3 linked regions of the Caenorhabditis elegans genome follow. The protein of the gene in region 2 interacts with the protein of the main gene of each other region in a pairwise test. Each region holds a gene or a part of one and is shown on either strand. Other genes may lie near its edges.

Evidence for each region. Proteins that work in one complex are often made in the same cells at the same time.
Region 1: the proteins of T10E9.1 (region 2) and skr-2 interact in a two-hybrid assay, tested with the Caenorhabditis elegans proteins (2 studies listed by BioGRID).
Region 3: the proteins of T10E9.1 (region 2) and skr-1 interact in a two-hybrid assay, tested with the Caenorhabditis elegans proteins (2 studies listed by BioGRID).

What each region holds. Positions count from the first base shown.
Region 1 is NC_003279.8:9,467,686-9,471,137, forward strand, and holds skr-2 (Skp1-related protein), read left to right. Parts: upstream 1-1,968; 5' UTR 1,969-2,018; coding exon 2,019-2,099; intron 2,100-2,280; coding exon 2,281-2,550; intron 2,551-2,595; coding exon 2,596-2,769; 3' UTR 2,770-2,952; downstream 2,953-3,452. Other genes in the region: twk-29 (Potassium channel domain-containing protein), read left to right, coding at 348-438, 578-773, 821-1,037, 1,091-1,167.
Region 2 is NC_003279.8:6,540,939-6,548,780, forward strand, and holds T10E9.1 (F-box domain-containing protein), read left to right. Parts: upstream 1-4,171; coding exon 4,172-4,254; intron 4,255-4,297; coding exon 4,298-4,853; intron 4,854-4,929; coding exon 4,930-5,153; intron 5,154-5,198; coding exon 5,199-5,316; intron 5,317-5,368; coding exon 5,369-5,557; 3' UTR 5,558-5,655; downstream 5,656-7,842. Other genes in the region: T10E9.8 (uncharacterized protein), read right to left, coding at 1-117; T10E9.2 (C2H2-type domain-containing protein), read left to right, coding at 1,230-1,295, 1,345-1,431, 1,478-1,556, 1,609-2,236, 2,388-2,547, 2,596-2,849, 2,895-3,047, 3,107-3,347 and 2 more; acdh-4 (Short/branched chain specific acyl-CoA dehydrogenase, mitochondrial), read right to left, coding at 5,790-6,005, 6,056-6,201, 6,250-6,346, 6,715-7,158, 7,389-7,489, 7,540-7,693.
Region 3 is NC_003279.8:9,469,784-9,473,145, forward strand, and holds skr-1 (Skp1-related protein), read left to right. Parts: upstream 1-1,766; 5' UTR 1,767-1,780; coding exon 1,781-1,861; intron 1,862-2,045; coding exon 2,046-2,321; intron 2,322-2,366; coding exon 2,367-2,540; 3' UTR 2,541-2,862; downstream 2,863-3,362. Other genes in the region: skr-2 (Skp1-related protein), read left to right, coding at 1-1, 183-452, 498-671; calm-1 (EF-hand domain-containing protein), read right to left, coding at 2,914-3,131. UniProt on the Caenorhabditis elegans protein: Probable essential component of SCF (SKP1-CUL1-F-box protein) E3 ubiquitin-protein ligase complexes, which mediate the ubiquitination and subsequent proteasomal degradation of target proteins.

The DNA.
Region 1 (3,452 bases), 2.9 Mb from region 2:
TTGCTAATTAGCCTCTTTTTGCTAATTAACGATGTTTTTTTGCTAGTTAGCAATGATTTTGAGCTATTTAGTTATGTTTACTAATTAGGAATGGTTTTGGACCAGGTTGCCGTGACTCGCTCTTGACTGAGTTGAGAAATTTTTGTTGAAAAACATTTCTATAATACAATACTTTATCAAAAGTTAAAAACACATTTTGTTATACGAAGCTCATGAAATAATTCAGACTTAACTTGAAGTCCTTTTAGTAAATTGATTTTTCGCCTTTTTTCTGGAGCATGTTTACATGGTATTCCCGTGGGGACCATTTAATCATATCCAAATATTACAAACAAGAATTTTTTCAGATATTGGATCAATTTATGTTCGAAAGCTACATTTTATTGGCAAAAAAATAAAAAACATTGCCAACATTCGGATTTGGTTCGGTGCCAGGAAGTGGGTTTGGCAAAGGAGACGTAAATTGTTTCATTTGGTTCTAAAACTTTTAGCTACGATTTGTTTCTATAACAACGTTCTCTATTTTTGTCAAAAAGCTTTTAATTAAAGAAAATAATTGTATCGCTAATATTTTTAGTTTGGAAGTACGAGAACTCATCACAGCAGTTGGACAGAATATTGGAATTGATCAGAATGTGATAGCAGACATAGATATTGATACATTGGTTAAAACAGCAATTCAAGTGAAATTGGGAAGACTTTCAAGAGTTCCTCAAACACATATGATTGTTGAGGGAATATGGCCTCCAGAACTTGTTCCTCTTTTTATGAAAGTGAGATATTTGAAACTTTATAGTATTCGAAGAAAATAATGTTTCAGGATGGTCAATTCCCACTTTTTGTCGATTCGGAAGATGATCTCACTGATATGAGGCCTAAGAAATTTTCAGTTCATTTTGAAGATGAACCAATGATGTCTGAAATAGAGGATACATCTGATTCTGAAACAGCTGCTGATAAATCACAAACCACATCGTCCCGATTGTCTCCAATTCCACGCCGAAGAGCAATGCAAGCCAAATTGAATGGTTCAACTGGTATGTTATCTAGAATTGAAGTGAATGGGAATTTTTAACGAAATCAATTTCAGACTCAGATCAAGCTTGCCACGACGGCGTTATGAATGTTTCAACAACTATCACCTCTGATCTTTCTACAGATGCATAGCATTTTGTTTTTTCTTCTTTTCTTAAATCTCAAATAAATACTTTTTAAAAATTTCTTTAAAAAAATAGACATAAACAAAACATATATAACTTTTCCCAGCTACATTATTACATTTTACAGCATTATTATTTTTGTGAAGTCGGTAGATCGAATATTTAAAATTGATAATACAATTTTATTATATAAAACTCAATTTTATTTACTATCTCTCGAAGAAACTGCGCCCGCAGAAGGAATTCAATTTCTTTAAAGTTTTCAAAAAGTTACGGTAAACTATTCCGTAAACACCGCGACATAAAAATGCACACTTTCTCTTTCCTAATTTTATATAAAATTTATAATTTTAGTTTTCTTCGAGAAAGAAACAAACAATCGTCACTTGCTTTTCGAAGAGTTGTTCATTCAACGACTTTCTTTTTTGTCTTCAAATATTTTTTGTTGCGATTTCTATTTCTTGTGAATCGTCTCAATGTATAGATGGATGATTGAAGCTTGAGTATTTAAATTATCCAGAATTGAAATGTTTTCACATACAGGTGTGCTTGATTGTTTTGTAGTTTGAGCATCAACCAAATTCGAAATATATTCAAATACAATTTTTCTGGCTAAAATTTTTCGATGACTACCAATAAGTAGCAGATTTTTATTGACGTTGAGAATTCATTCCAGTATCTTTTTCCTGTATTCTCAATCATTCTTCTTATTATTTTAGTTATAGTTTTTCTATTTTGCAGATATTCTGATAGAATTCCAACGAAACCATTGCTTTGTTTTTTCCGCGTGGTTTTTGTACACTTCTCTCGTTAGTGACCCTGTCACAACTAATTTTAATTCCAGTCAACTACAACACGATGGCTGACCAAAAGGAAGCATCCGAAGCAGCAAAGAACCGCGAAATCAAGATCTCGTCTTCGGATGATGAAATCTTCTTGGTAAGCTGAAATTCGTTTGTTATTGTCATTTTTATCTGAAAAACTAGGCTTCGGGTCGATAAGACGCTTTCGCAGTTCTTATAGAAAATGTTTAGTAGCCTAGTTGATTTTTAATAAATCAACAAAAAAAGCGGCACTGTACGCTAGATGGCATGGGAAAAATTGCAATCTGAACTTCCAGGTCCCACGCAATGTGATCCGTCTCTCAAACACTCTCAACACTCTTCTTGTGGACCTCGGGCTCGACGACGATGAAGGAACCAACGCTGAGCCAATTCCAGTGCAAAACGTCACTGCCTCGATTTTGAAGAAGGTTATCAACTGGTGCACCAAACACCAGTCCGACCCAATTCCAACTGAAGACAGTGAGAAGAAAACGGATGGTTCCATCCAAGACTGGGACAAAAAATTTCTCGATATTGACCAAGGAACCCTTTTCGAGCTCATTTTGGTAACTTGTTATTTTAGTTGCAATATTTTAAATTCCTATTTTCAGGCTGCCAACTATTTGGACATCAAAGGACTTCTTGATGTCGCCTGCCAGTCTGTCGCCAACATGATCAAGGGAAAATCTCCAGATGAAATTCGTCGTGCTTTCAACATCAAGGACGACTTCACTGCAGAGGAGAGAGAGCAAATCCGTAAGGAAAACGCCTGGTGCGATGATTAAATCTCCATCTTTTCCCCTGTTAAACTTTCAATTACCTTGTTTTCTAAATGTTTCACATCATCCACCATATCTTTCCCCTTATTAAACGCACTTTTTAATTGTTAACAAATTTCTTCACTGCCAGCTGACACAACTGTGTACAGTTCTGTTTTTCATTCAATAAAGTTGATGTGAACATGAAAATTGCAAACAATGCAATTGGTTTTAAAGCCACAGCAATAGTATTTTTTAGTCTGAACAGGACTATAGATCCTTCACTTTTGAAATGGAAGATGACGAGATGTGAAATTCTAGGCCAAAGTTGCTTCGTTTTCCGCGCGCGTAGATTTCGAAATAAATAAAAAAACAATACTTTTCTCAGTTTTAAAAGCTACGGATCGTGTGAATGAAAATTACTTTCTGTGATTAATTGCGAATGGGGTTATTCAAGTAATGTATTTACATGACTTTATCGCATATTGCGCCTGACGCTGCTAAATCCCCGCATTTAACTGAAAGTTGCGATATCTTTAAAACGAGATCTATTTTTTCCATTTCTTTCATTTTTTTTTTCCTGATATTCTCCTTTTTCTATCTATCAAAAATCGAGTGCCGATATTCGCTGAAAAGACTATATTATGTACGCCGTCCGCTCTCTTTTTAATTTTATATAATTAAAAAACATTATCTCTGAATATCTGCAA
Region 2 (7,842 bases):
AACTTCCAATAACATTGTTAGAATTTGCATTGATACTGTTAAAAGAGCAGCTTTTGGAGTATCAAAAAGCTCAAAACAGGCTGCTGGACGGTGATTTGAAACTGTTGAAATTTGCATTGATTGCCTTAATGAATTAATTATAGATATTCCTGGTTTCTTCTTTAGACGTTTTCGTAGAGCCATTTTTAGGAATAGAAATAGTAATAAGGAAAATAATGGAAAAAAAGGAAAAAAAGCTGCACAGAACATTTAATGGAAGGAAAACGCAGAGAAGGAAAGGCAAATGTCAAGAGCAGGGGGAAATATGAATTTGCAAAAAAAAGAGATTTCTTTGTTTTTCTTTTTTTGTTGTTTGTGGAGAAAATATAAAATATTGAATTATGAGATACGGTTTACTATATTGAATTTGCCAATTTCTAGAAAATAAACCATTTGGAATTTTGGCGTATTGTTTAACATCGGAAGTGTTTTATTCATGAAGACTCATAAATTGTACGGATTTGTTTTGATTTTAATATTTGTTCGGCTCAGGCATATTGAGAACAGATTCAAAATCCAGAGAGGCCAAGAAATGGGCGGAGTCTATTTTAAACTTTAAATCTACAGTCTGAATAAAGCTTCTGATACCAAAAGACGCAGACGTGAAATGAGAAAATCGATATGTGTCACGGAGAGAAATAACATAGTTTTGGGATTTATTCGGAAAAGAACGACTATCCAATAGTTCGTTGTCTGTGTCTCCACTGTTGACGTTATGCTTCAATTGTATGTACCTCTAACAGTGTCCATATACATTCTATAACTAAATACATAGTTCGTAATTTTAAAAATAACAATATTTATAACAAGGAAAAAACGTTATTTTTCGCAAAAAGGTTCATGATAGTTTTAAAAATTATCATTTTGAAATAACGACTTCTACCACCTTGGAACGTCCAAAAAAGTTGTTCTACAATTTTGACATCATCTAATCTGTTATAATTACTATGATTCCAGTGAGACAATAAATATTCTTAACCTGCCTATGCCTTTAATTGGAAACTAATTGAAACTTTTGAAAATCTGCCAAAAACTCTGTTTTGAATAACCGCCGAAATGAATTAATGCAAGCGCGCTCTTTCGTCACGCGGCAGAGAACGGAGACAGCAGAGAAACGCGGGTAGAATTGTTTTTTGAATGGACAAATTAGCGAGATTTCTTTCCATTTTCTTTTATTTTTCAAACTTATAATGCCTCCAAAAAGAAAACAGCTTCGACGAAACTCATCAAGTATCGATTCAAATAGTTTGCAACAGGTTTGTAGAAATTGGTAATTAATCAGAGCGAAAAAATACTTGTTTTCAGCAAAATCTGTTGCATGTCTGTGGATACTGCTCCAAACTGATGGGAAACGATGAAAAAGAACATTTGGAACATGCAATGAGCCATCAGGTAGGAATAAATATTTAAAATAATATTAATGAAAGACTTACTGTAGAACGAAGTAACCCAATGTCGTACCTGCTGTATTCCTGTAAATAAAGAAGAAACAGAAGATCATCTGAAACGAATTCATGGTAAGTAAACTTGGGATGAAGCAAAATTCGATATTTTAAATTTAAATTTCAGCCTGCAATTATCGTCACATCAAATTTTCCATTGACAACTCTTTAATCGAACTTCGGATCGCCGCTGGAAAATCATATTCAAACTTTTGGGGTATTCGCCTCTCTTCAACGGATTCCACACTAAACAGCTTCAGTTCAAACTCTGCAAGATGGTGGCAGAACTTTAAAAATGGGCGGTCTCTTGGGACATTCCGAATTCTAAATTCAAAATTTAGCTGGAAATGTCCAATGTGTGAAGGAAAATCAGCCGTTAATTTCAATGAGACAATCAGTATGCGGACATACGCCCTGACTCATTTAGAACATCATCATTTCGAAGAAGTTATGGTTAGTGTTCCTGGGTTTTTCGAATTTGAGTGGTATCATCTCAATGAAGAGACTGATTTCGATGTGAGAGCCTTAATGCATATACGACAACAAAGAATTATGTGCAAAGGGCGGAGCTATTTGACATTTTACACTATTAACTTGTCTAAAATGGAAAACGGTGAGAATTTCCTGACAAAGTTGAAGAAAAGAAGTGGAATGGAGAAGGAAGAAGTCAGATATTGTCTTGTTTGTTGCTGCTTGGTGTCTTCTGAAACAATTAAACAACACTTTCGATTATCAAGTCATAGTTGTCTAGATCCGTAAGTTAAATAAAAAACTATTGCGTAGTAAAACTTGAACAATTTTGATATATTCTGGAGCACCAAAATTACTGAATTCGTAGCACAACTCTGATTTTTTGATAAGGCCTGCCTGCATAACATTCGTTTTTTTCAATTATTATTTGTTCAGTATCGCATCGAGCTCATCCTTCACACATGTCCAACCTGACCCAAAAGAAGTTGCGAACGAAGCCGGTGAGAATGTGAATAACGCTGAAAATCCAGAAGAAGAAGAAGTATACACTTTTGAATTTCCCAAGGAATTGTTTCTATATTCTAATGTTTTCAAGGTACATTTTTTTTCAATTTCAAATTTAAATAATTTTTTCGATTTTTAGAACCTACGAAAAGATGAATTCAAGTGGCGTTGTTGTCTCTGTCCACGTGCCCATGCTCACATTTTCACGACTCAACTCATTATGAGAATGTATGCTCTTCGACATATTGATCAACATCACAAGTACCTTTTTACTGAAGAATTCATGAATTATGAATGGTTATCGGCGAAACATGAAATCAGAGCTTCATTCGATATTAGAACATTCACACCTCTTCAGTATACGATTAAGGGAGAATCAACGTTCAATGCAACGTAATTTTTTTCAAAATATGTTCTTATCAGAACAAAAACTTTCAGAGATCCAAATGATTATACTCTTCCACAGCAATACTTTTTTATTCCAAAAGATTTCATCAACGAGACAGTCATTTGTGGGTTCTGCTATCGATCATTTAATAAAATTGATTTTCTACTTCATATCGTTCTTCATGGATTTAGAGTCGTCACCAGGTTCTTTTTTAGAATATTCTACAAAATTTTTCGTGAAATTAAACCCTTCGAATTTCCAGAGAAACTGCAAAACTTCGTCCAGCGTCTTATACTGAAACCGCGAATGAATTGATGGGACAAAATAACTATTCGGATGGTGGACTTGATGATGAACCACACAATATTTTGTCTGTCGATGGGAAGCGGCTAAAATCAAAAATGGATTTATTAGCTAAAAGAAGTTACCTGAATGTTCCTCGATTCTCAGAAGTAACTACGCCTGGCAAAAGTGAAAGAGACACTGATGGAGAAATTTATACGGTAATTCAAAATACTTTTAAAATTAAAATTATAAATATCAAAATTTTCAGCCAAGTGGTCGAAGATCTGCTATGAATGCTCGAAAACTTCTCACTGAAACCTTCAAAGTTCTCCAAGATAACTTTCGAAATAGGAAAGACACGTGGAATGAATCATCGTGCTCTTCTTCGTCTTCGTCGGATGAATCAAACTCTGAAGACGATAGATTCGAACGGAATTTGTTATTAGAAGCTACTACAAAAGATGAGAGACGAGAAAGATCGAAAAGTACAGAACTTAAAGTGAAAGATTTATCAAAAATGAGGCCAGCTGAAGTTCGTGAATGGGTTAAAAGAGAAGCTGAAAAGCGAGGAGTTGACTGGAAAGATCAGTCATCATCATCAGAAGGAGAAGATATGGAATCGGAAACTACCACGGAACGAATAGCAGGAAATAATTGGAATAATATGAGATTAAAAGATATCAAAGAACTGTGAGTTTGTAAAAATTAAATTAAATTTTTCAATTTTCTTTTTTCAGTGTTCGCACAGCAGCAAAAAGGAAGAAGATTGATATTTCAAACGATTCCAGTAGTGATTCAGATGATTGTTAGATTACGTAGTAATTTATTCGTTGTTAATTTATTAAAATAGTTTCAAAAATAGTTTTTCGATACTCAAAAAATAAATGCTTTCAATTTTTAAAACTATTTTCAACTTTTTTTTTTGTTTCCAACTTCTGTTGTACAGCTCAGGTCTCAGATTATTTGTGATATATTTTCAAAATTTCCGCCAAGGTTTGCTGTAACAAACTGATCCGAAATAATTGCTTTTTCTGAATTTCAGATGGTGAGAAAACCTATCGAAATATTAGACTTGCCCCCAGAATTGTTAGAGAAGCTTATCGAGAAATGTGATTTAATTTCAAGGTATTATTCTCCTTAAATAATTTTAAAAAAATCAAAACTTTAGATGCAAACTTCGTGCAACCTCTTCTACTATGAATCATGCTGTTTCATCTACAAAACTCTTCATTCCATCGGTCTATATCAAGGATCTTCACAGTGTAGGAGTTCTCGTAAAACTTACATTTAAACTATTCAAAGATGTACATTCTCTCAAGTTTAAAATGACTCCCGAATGCGACACAAGAATCTCCCAATCTTCGAAAAATGATATTATAATTGAAGGATCTCGACCAATTGATGAGGCTATCGCATTCCTTAATCGAATGTGTTTTCAAAATAATGTTGTTATTGGATTCCTAACTGTAGAATTATCAGATAATTTCGAGGAATTGAATAATAAGTTTATGGAGACATTAGATAACATGGAAAGTTCTCTAAAAGTTCAATCCATTTTTTGGAGAAATCCGCGAAAATGTGACCTTCTCTGGAAAATGTTTGATAAATGTGATGGAAGTTTGCTGAATGGTTTGAAAATAGACGGACAAGCTCGTGATGATGACGATGATTTCGATTTTCTCGGGAAAAATGCGGCAATTGTGCAAAAAATGGACAAAATCGAGGTAAGATGAGTTATGAATATATGCGTTGCACTTTAGAAAACATATAACTTGTGACTAGAGAAATTATGTGTTTCAGATCTCTACTATCACCACAGCAACCTATGAAGACGTCATGGCACTAAAAGCGTCAGTGATCTCTCTCAAATCCAAGAAGTTTACTGGTGACCTTATTTGTGACGTCATCGAGAAGTTCGTGGCTACCAGATCAACTGGATCGAAACTTGACATCATGAACCCAAGTGGCCTAGATTTTGAAAATATTCCTGCAGGATTTACACAAGTTGAGCAGGACTCTGGCCAGTATGTCATAATTTGACAATTATTTTTTGAATATCTTAATTTCAGCAATGTATATCACAAGCAACTTCCAGATGATCAAAGACTTGTAGTTTTATGGAAAAGTGAGAATTGGATTAATTTAGAAATTGGAAAAACCGGAAATTATGATTTCTCGCCTAGTTTTGTAAGTTCAATATTCAGTTTTCATGTCTCCAAATAAATACGTTATTTTTCAGAAGAAAATTCTACTCGGTCTACCCCATTTCGCTGACGATTCTTCGGAGTACGATGACAATTATGATGATTATGATAACGATGAGGATAGCAATTTTGATCCCGATTATGACTACGAACGTTATGAAGATAATCTCGATGAATCTGACTATGAAGATACAGATTATGGGGAAAACGAAGAATTCTATTAATAATCAAATTGTAACGTTTCGTTTTTTCTCTCGTTCTCTTATAATTTTATATAACTAGACGTTCAATAGATACAAATTAGAATAAATTTTCAAACAACATTTTCCCTTAGAACACCAACATGAATCCATATTTATCAAATGAGAATATCGAATTAACCCTCGCAATAAGGAGGAGAGGTACATTTTCAGGCCTTCTGTTTAAATTCGGCGTCAATTAGCTTCGCGATGGTGCTCAATTGAATGTTGGAAGTTCCTTCGTAAATCGTTCCAATTTTACAGTCACGATAGTATTTCTCGACGGGGAATTCTTTGGTGATGCAAAGAGCTTCGCCATTGCTGCCTCACGAACAAATGGTAATCCGTGTTGCTTCATACGAGCAGCATTGTAAACCAACAGACGAGCAGCTTCGATTTCAGTTCTGACTTGAGCAATTTGATGTTGCATTCCCTAGAAGTCTATTGTATATATATATTTCTCTGTCATGTTTTATGTCTCACCTGGAAATCAATAATTCTCTGCCCAAACTGTTCTCTTTGTTGAAGATATGGAATTGTCTGATCAAAACATCCTTGAGCTAATCCAAGCATTTGAGCTCCAATTCCGATACGACCAGCATTCAAATATTCAATTGCGTACTTGTAACCTTTAAACATTGTGTACTTAAATTGGAATTATTAATTCTATAGTCAACCTTTTCCAAATTCTCCAAGAATTGCCGACTTGTGAACGCGTACATTATCAAAATGAAGTGGGCACGTAGAAGATGAACGAACTCCCAATTTGTCCTCCTGAACTTGATGATTATTACGTCCATTTTAAAGCGGAACCGCAAAACTCGATTTGTTGCGTTTTTGTACAAACTACTGTACCCCCGTTCTCGCCAGGAATAAAATAACTGGAATACAGTAACCCCATATGCCTGCTTCCATTGATTTCCTTTGAGTCCTTGATGTATTTCATGTTTTTCAATAATTTTTTCAGCAAAATAATGTCTTGGATAGAAGAGACGATGAAAAAACGATACAATGGGTTACTGTACTTCTTGGAGGCACTCATTTTGAGCGTCATTGACTTGATATTTTGTTCGTGGCGAGACTTTTTTGAGCGAAAAGTCACAATAAATAACTCTGGAAAATGGTTATAAAAGTTAACTTACATGCTTTCCAATGGTAAATCCTTTAGTACCCTTTTCAACAATGAAACATGTAATTCCTTTGTATCCTTTACTTGGATCCGCATTAGCAAACACCAAGAATGTTTCCGATTGCTCCGAATTTGAGATCCACATCTTTGATCCATTAATCACATAGTCATCTCCATCTTTCTTTGCAGTTGTTTTCAATGCAAATGCATCAGATCCAGATCCGGTCTCGGAAAGAGCAAATGATCCAACTGATGAAGTATAACATTTTGGAAGATATTTCTCTTTTTGTTTTTCTGTTCCAAGTTCAATAATTAAAGGAATAAAGAGTGTATTATGAACATCAACCATTGCTCCAACCGATGCATCAACTTTTGAAATTTCTTCAATTACGAGAGCAGCATCGAAAAACGTTGCTCCAGGGCCACCGTACTTTTCAGGAACTTCGATGCCCATCAGCTGAGGTTAACTTTAAACATTTTCAAAATACATTATTACCCAGTTGCTATACTATGTAGACGTCGCGCAAAAAAGTATGCGCCTTTAAGAAGTACAGTAATACATTTCTCAAAAATGGGTTACTGTACTAATTTGAAGGCGCATCGTTTTGCGCAGTTAATTAAAAAATACATTTGTTTCGTTGCGAGACCGTAAAGTGTCGCAACTGGATAATTACTTTCATATAATACCCCATTTTCAAAGCATCCATTGATCACAGCTGGAGTCATTTCCGAAGTTCGATCCATTTCACGAACCAGAGGTTTTATCACTGTATCCGCAAATTGACGAACTTAAATTGCACTATTTATTCTCTGAATCTTTTAATTCTTCAGTACAAACCAGTTTTAACGAATCCGGTTTCCTGCTCCGACAATACTTGCAATGGATGTGGAATATCATCCTCATTACGTGGTTTTGAAGATAACAATGATGACGTGCTAGAGATCAAGCGTCTGCATGAGCTCAAACGGAGTTGGTGGACGAGAAGAGACATTTGGAAGAATTCAAAAGAAGGAACTACATTTTTAAACATTGGAAAAAGGTTTGTGTGATCATGGAGGAGAATTATGGTCACGCTTTTATATTTAAAAAAGTTTTCAATAGGGCAACAAAAACAGTGAAAAAGTAACAATAAAAGTAACA
Region 3 (3,362 bases), 2.9 Mb from region 2:
GGTAAGCTGAAATTCGTTTGTTATTGTCATTTTTATCTGAAAAACTAGGCTTCGGGTCGATAAGACGCTTTCGCAGTTCTTATAGAAAATGTTTAGTAGCCTAGTTGATTTTTAATAAATCAACAAAAAAAGCGGCACTGTACGCTAGATGGCATGGGAAAAATTGCAATCTGAACTTCCAGGTCCCACGCAATGTGATCCGTCTCTCAAACACTCTCAACACTCTTCTTGTGGACCTCGGGCTCGACGACGATGAAGGAACCAACGCTGAGCCAATTCCAGTGCAAAACGTCACTGCCTCGATTTTGAAGAAGGTTATCAACTGGTGCACCAAACACCAGTCCGACCCAATTCCAACTGAAGACAGTGAGAAGAAAACGGATGGTTCCATCCAAGACTGGGACAAAAAATTTCTCGATATTGACCAAGGAACCCTTTTCGAGCTCATTTTGGTAACTTGTTATTTTAGTTGCAATATTTTAAATTCCTATTTTCAGGCTGCCAACTATTTGGACATCAAAGGACTTCTTGATGTCGCCTGCCAGTCTGTCGCCAACATGATCAAGGGAAAATCTCCAGATGAAATTCGTCGTGCTTTCAACATCAAGGACGACTTCACTGCAGAGGAGAGAGAGCAAATCCGTAAGGAAAACGCCTGGTGCGATGATTAAATCTCCATCTTTTCCCCTGTTAAACTTTCAATTACCTTGTTTTCTAAATGTTTCACATCATCCACCATATCTTTCCCCTTATTAAACGCACTTTTTAATTGTTAACAAATTTCTTCACTGCCAGCTGACACAACTGTGTACAGTTCTGTTTTTCATTCAATAAAGTTGATGTGAACATGAAAATTGCAAACAATGCAATTGGTTTTAAAGCCACAGCAATAGTATTTTTTAGTCTGAACAGGACTATAGATCCTTCACTTTTGAAATGGAAGATGACGAGATGTGAAATTCTAGGCCAAAGTTGCTTCGTTTTCCGCGCGCGTAGATTTCGAAATAAATAAAAAAACAATACTTTTCTCAGTTTTAAAAGCTACGGATCGTGTGAATGAAAATTACTTTCTGTGATTAATTGCGAATGGGGTTATTCAAGTAATGTATTTACATGACTTTATCGCATATTGCGCCTGACGCTGCTAAATCCCCGCATTTAACTGAAAGTTGCGATATCTTTAAAACGAGATCTATTTTTTCCATTTCTTTCATTTTTTTTTTCCTGATATTCTCCTTTTTCTATCTATCAAAAATCGAGTGCCGATATTCGCTGAAAAGACTATATTATGTACGCCGTCCGCTCTCTTTTTAATTTTATATAATTAAAAAACATTATCTCTGAATATCTGCAACTCGAAATTTAGTAAATATACCGTTCCTCCATTATCTTTCTAGTATTTTTTTAAAGACTTTGTCCATCCAATAAATTGTCATATTTGTCAATTCGTTCCCGCATTGCGTTCTATAACGATCGATAACTCTGCGTCTCTTCCTTTGTGTGTACACTGTTTCCTCGCTTCTCTACACTGTTTCCTCGCTTCTCTCGCATCATACGACACACTCACATTCTATTCGCTCATTTCTCAACGTTCTCATTCTATTTTTCGTTGTTTTTCTTTGTTTTGCAGGTATTTTGCGTTGGAAAATTTAAAACTTTTAATTTTTCTCGATGGAAATACTCTTAATCGTTCTTTTTTTTTTCTACCTGTTCTTCTTTATTATTTGTATGTAATCGTTCTTTTCACAATAATTTCTCAATTTCAATCGATTTCAACGCGATGGCTGATCAAAAGAAAGTATCCGAGGCGGCAAAGGAACGCGAAATCAAGATATCGTCTTCGGATAACGAAATCTTCTTGGTAAGATTCAAATTATTCCTTCGTTTTCGTTATTTTTGTCTAAAAAAACTAAATCGATAAGCCGTGCTGCATGCATGCGCGCGTAGAGTTTTGCTTCTTGGTATCCTAGGTGATCTGACTTATAGAAAAATAGACAATGTTAAATGTTCCACTATATTTGAAAATTCACAAACTAAACTTCCAGGTCCCACGCAATGTGATCCGTCTCTCAAACACTATCAACACTCTCCTGATGGATCTTGGACTCGACGACGAAGAAGGAACCAACGCTGAGCCAATTCCAGTTCAAAACGTCACTGCCTCGATTCTGAAGAAGGTCATTAGTTGGTGCAACCATCATCACTCCGATCCTATCTCGACTGAAGATTCCGATAACCGCGAGAAAAGAACTGACGACATAGGCAGCTGGGACGTCGAGTTTCTTAAGGTTGACCAAGGAACCCTTTTCGAGCTCATCTTGGTAACTTGTTATTTTAGTTCCAATATTTGAAATTCATATTTTTAGGCTGCCAACTATTTGGACATCAAGGGACTTCTTGATGTTACCTGCAAGACTGTTGCTAACATGATCAAGGGAAAATCTCCAGAAGAGATTCGTCGCACTTTCAACATCAAGAACGACTTCACCCCGGAAGAGGAAGAGCAAATCCGCAAAGAGAATGCCTGGTGCGAGGATTAAATTACCCTTCAGTTTGCCTATTTCTCTATTACATTTCTAAACGACATGTCGCTTCCTTCCCCTTCACACTTCACACATTGTCCTGATATGGTCTCTGTCTATTTTTTACATCATCTCTGGCAGCCCAAAAACTTCTTCCTTTTTTCACCTAATTAAAATGCATCTTTTGAATTTTAACCGCCATTCTATATTTATACCTATAAATCACCGACCGGCAAAAATTATGCAGTGTGAGATTCTCACACATTTCCTCCAATGAACATCAGTGTGTCCTTTACGTGATTGTACATGCCTAAAAATAAAGTTGATGAGACGATACAAAAAACAAACGATTTATGTAAAACATTGAAAAAAATATAACCCGTGAATGTATTTAAATTCTGATATGAAAAGTTCTAATGAAGTCAGGTGATCGAGAGACAACGTGTTCAAATTCTGCGAAGTTTATACTCGAGTCTCCATCCAAATCAGCTTCTTCAATAATTCGTTCAATTATAAATTCAACTTCTACATCACTCAGCTCATCTCTTGTTAAACTTCGAATCATTTTACTCAAATCATCATGTCCAAGAAGTTCATCTCCATCGTAATCTAAAACAATATTTTGATACTAAATTAAATATTATTACGCAGACCTCTAAGGACCGCTATTGCAATATAATTTTATCAGATATAAATGCAAAATTTATGTCATGATTGTTAAAATAACAATATGATATAATACAATTTATTTACGCGAGTTACAGTAACCCGTTGCCGGAATGGCGAGACGTTGCGCGTAAATTGTGGTGAAAATTCGCAACTATGGACGTCTACGTAATA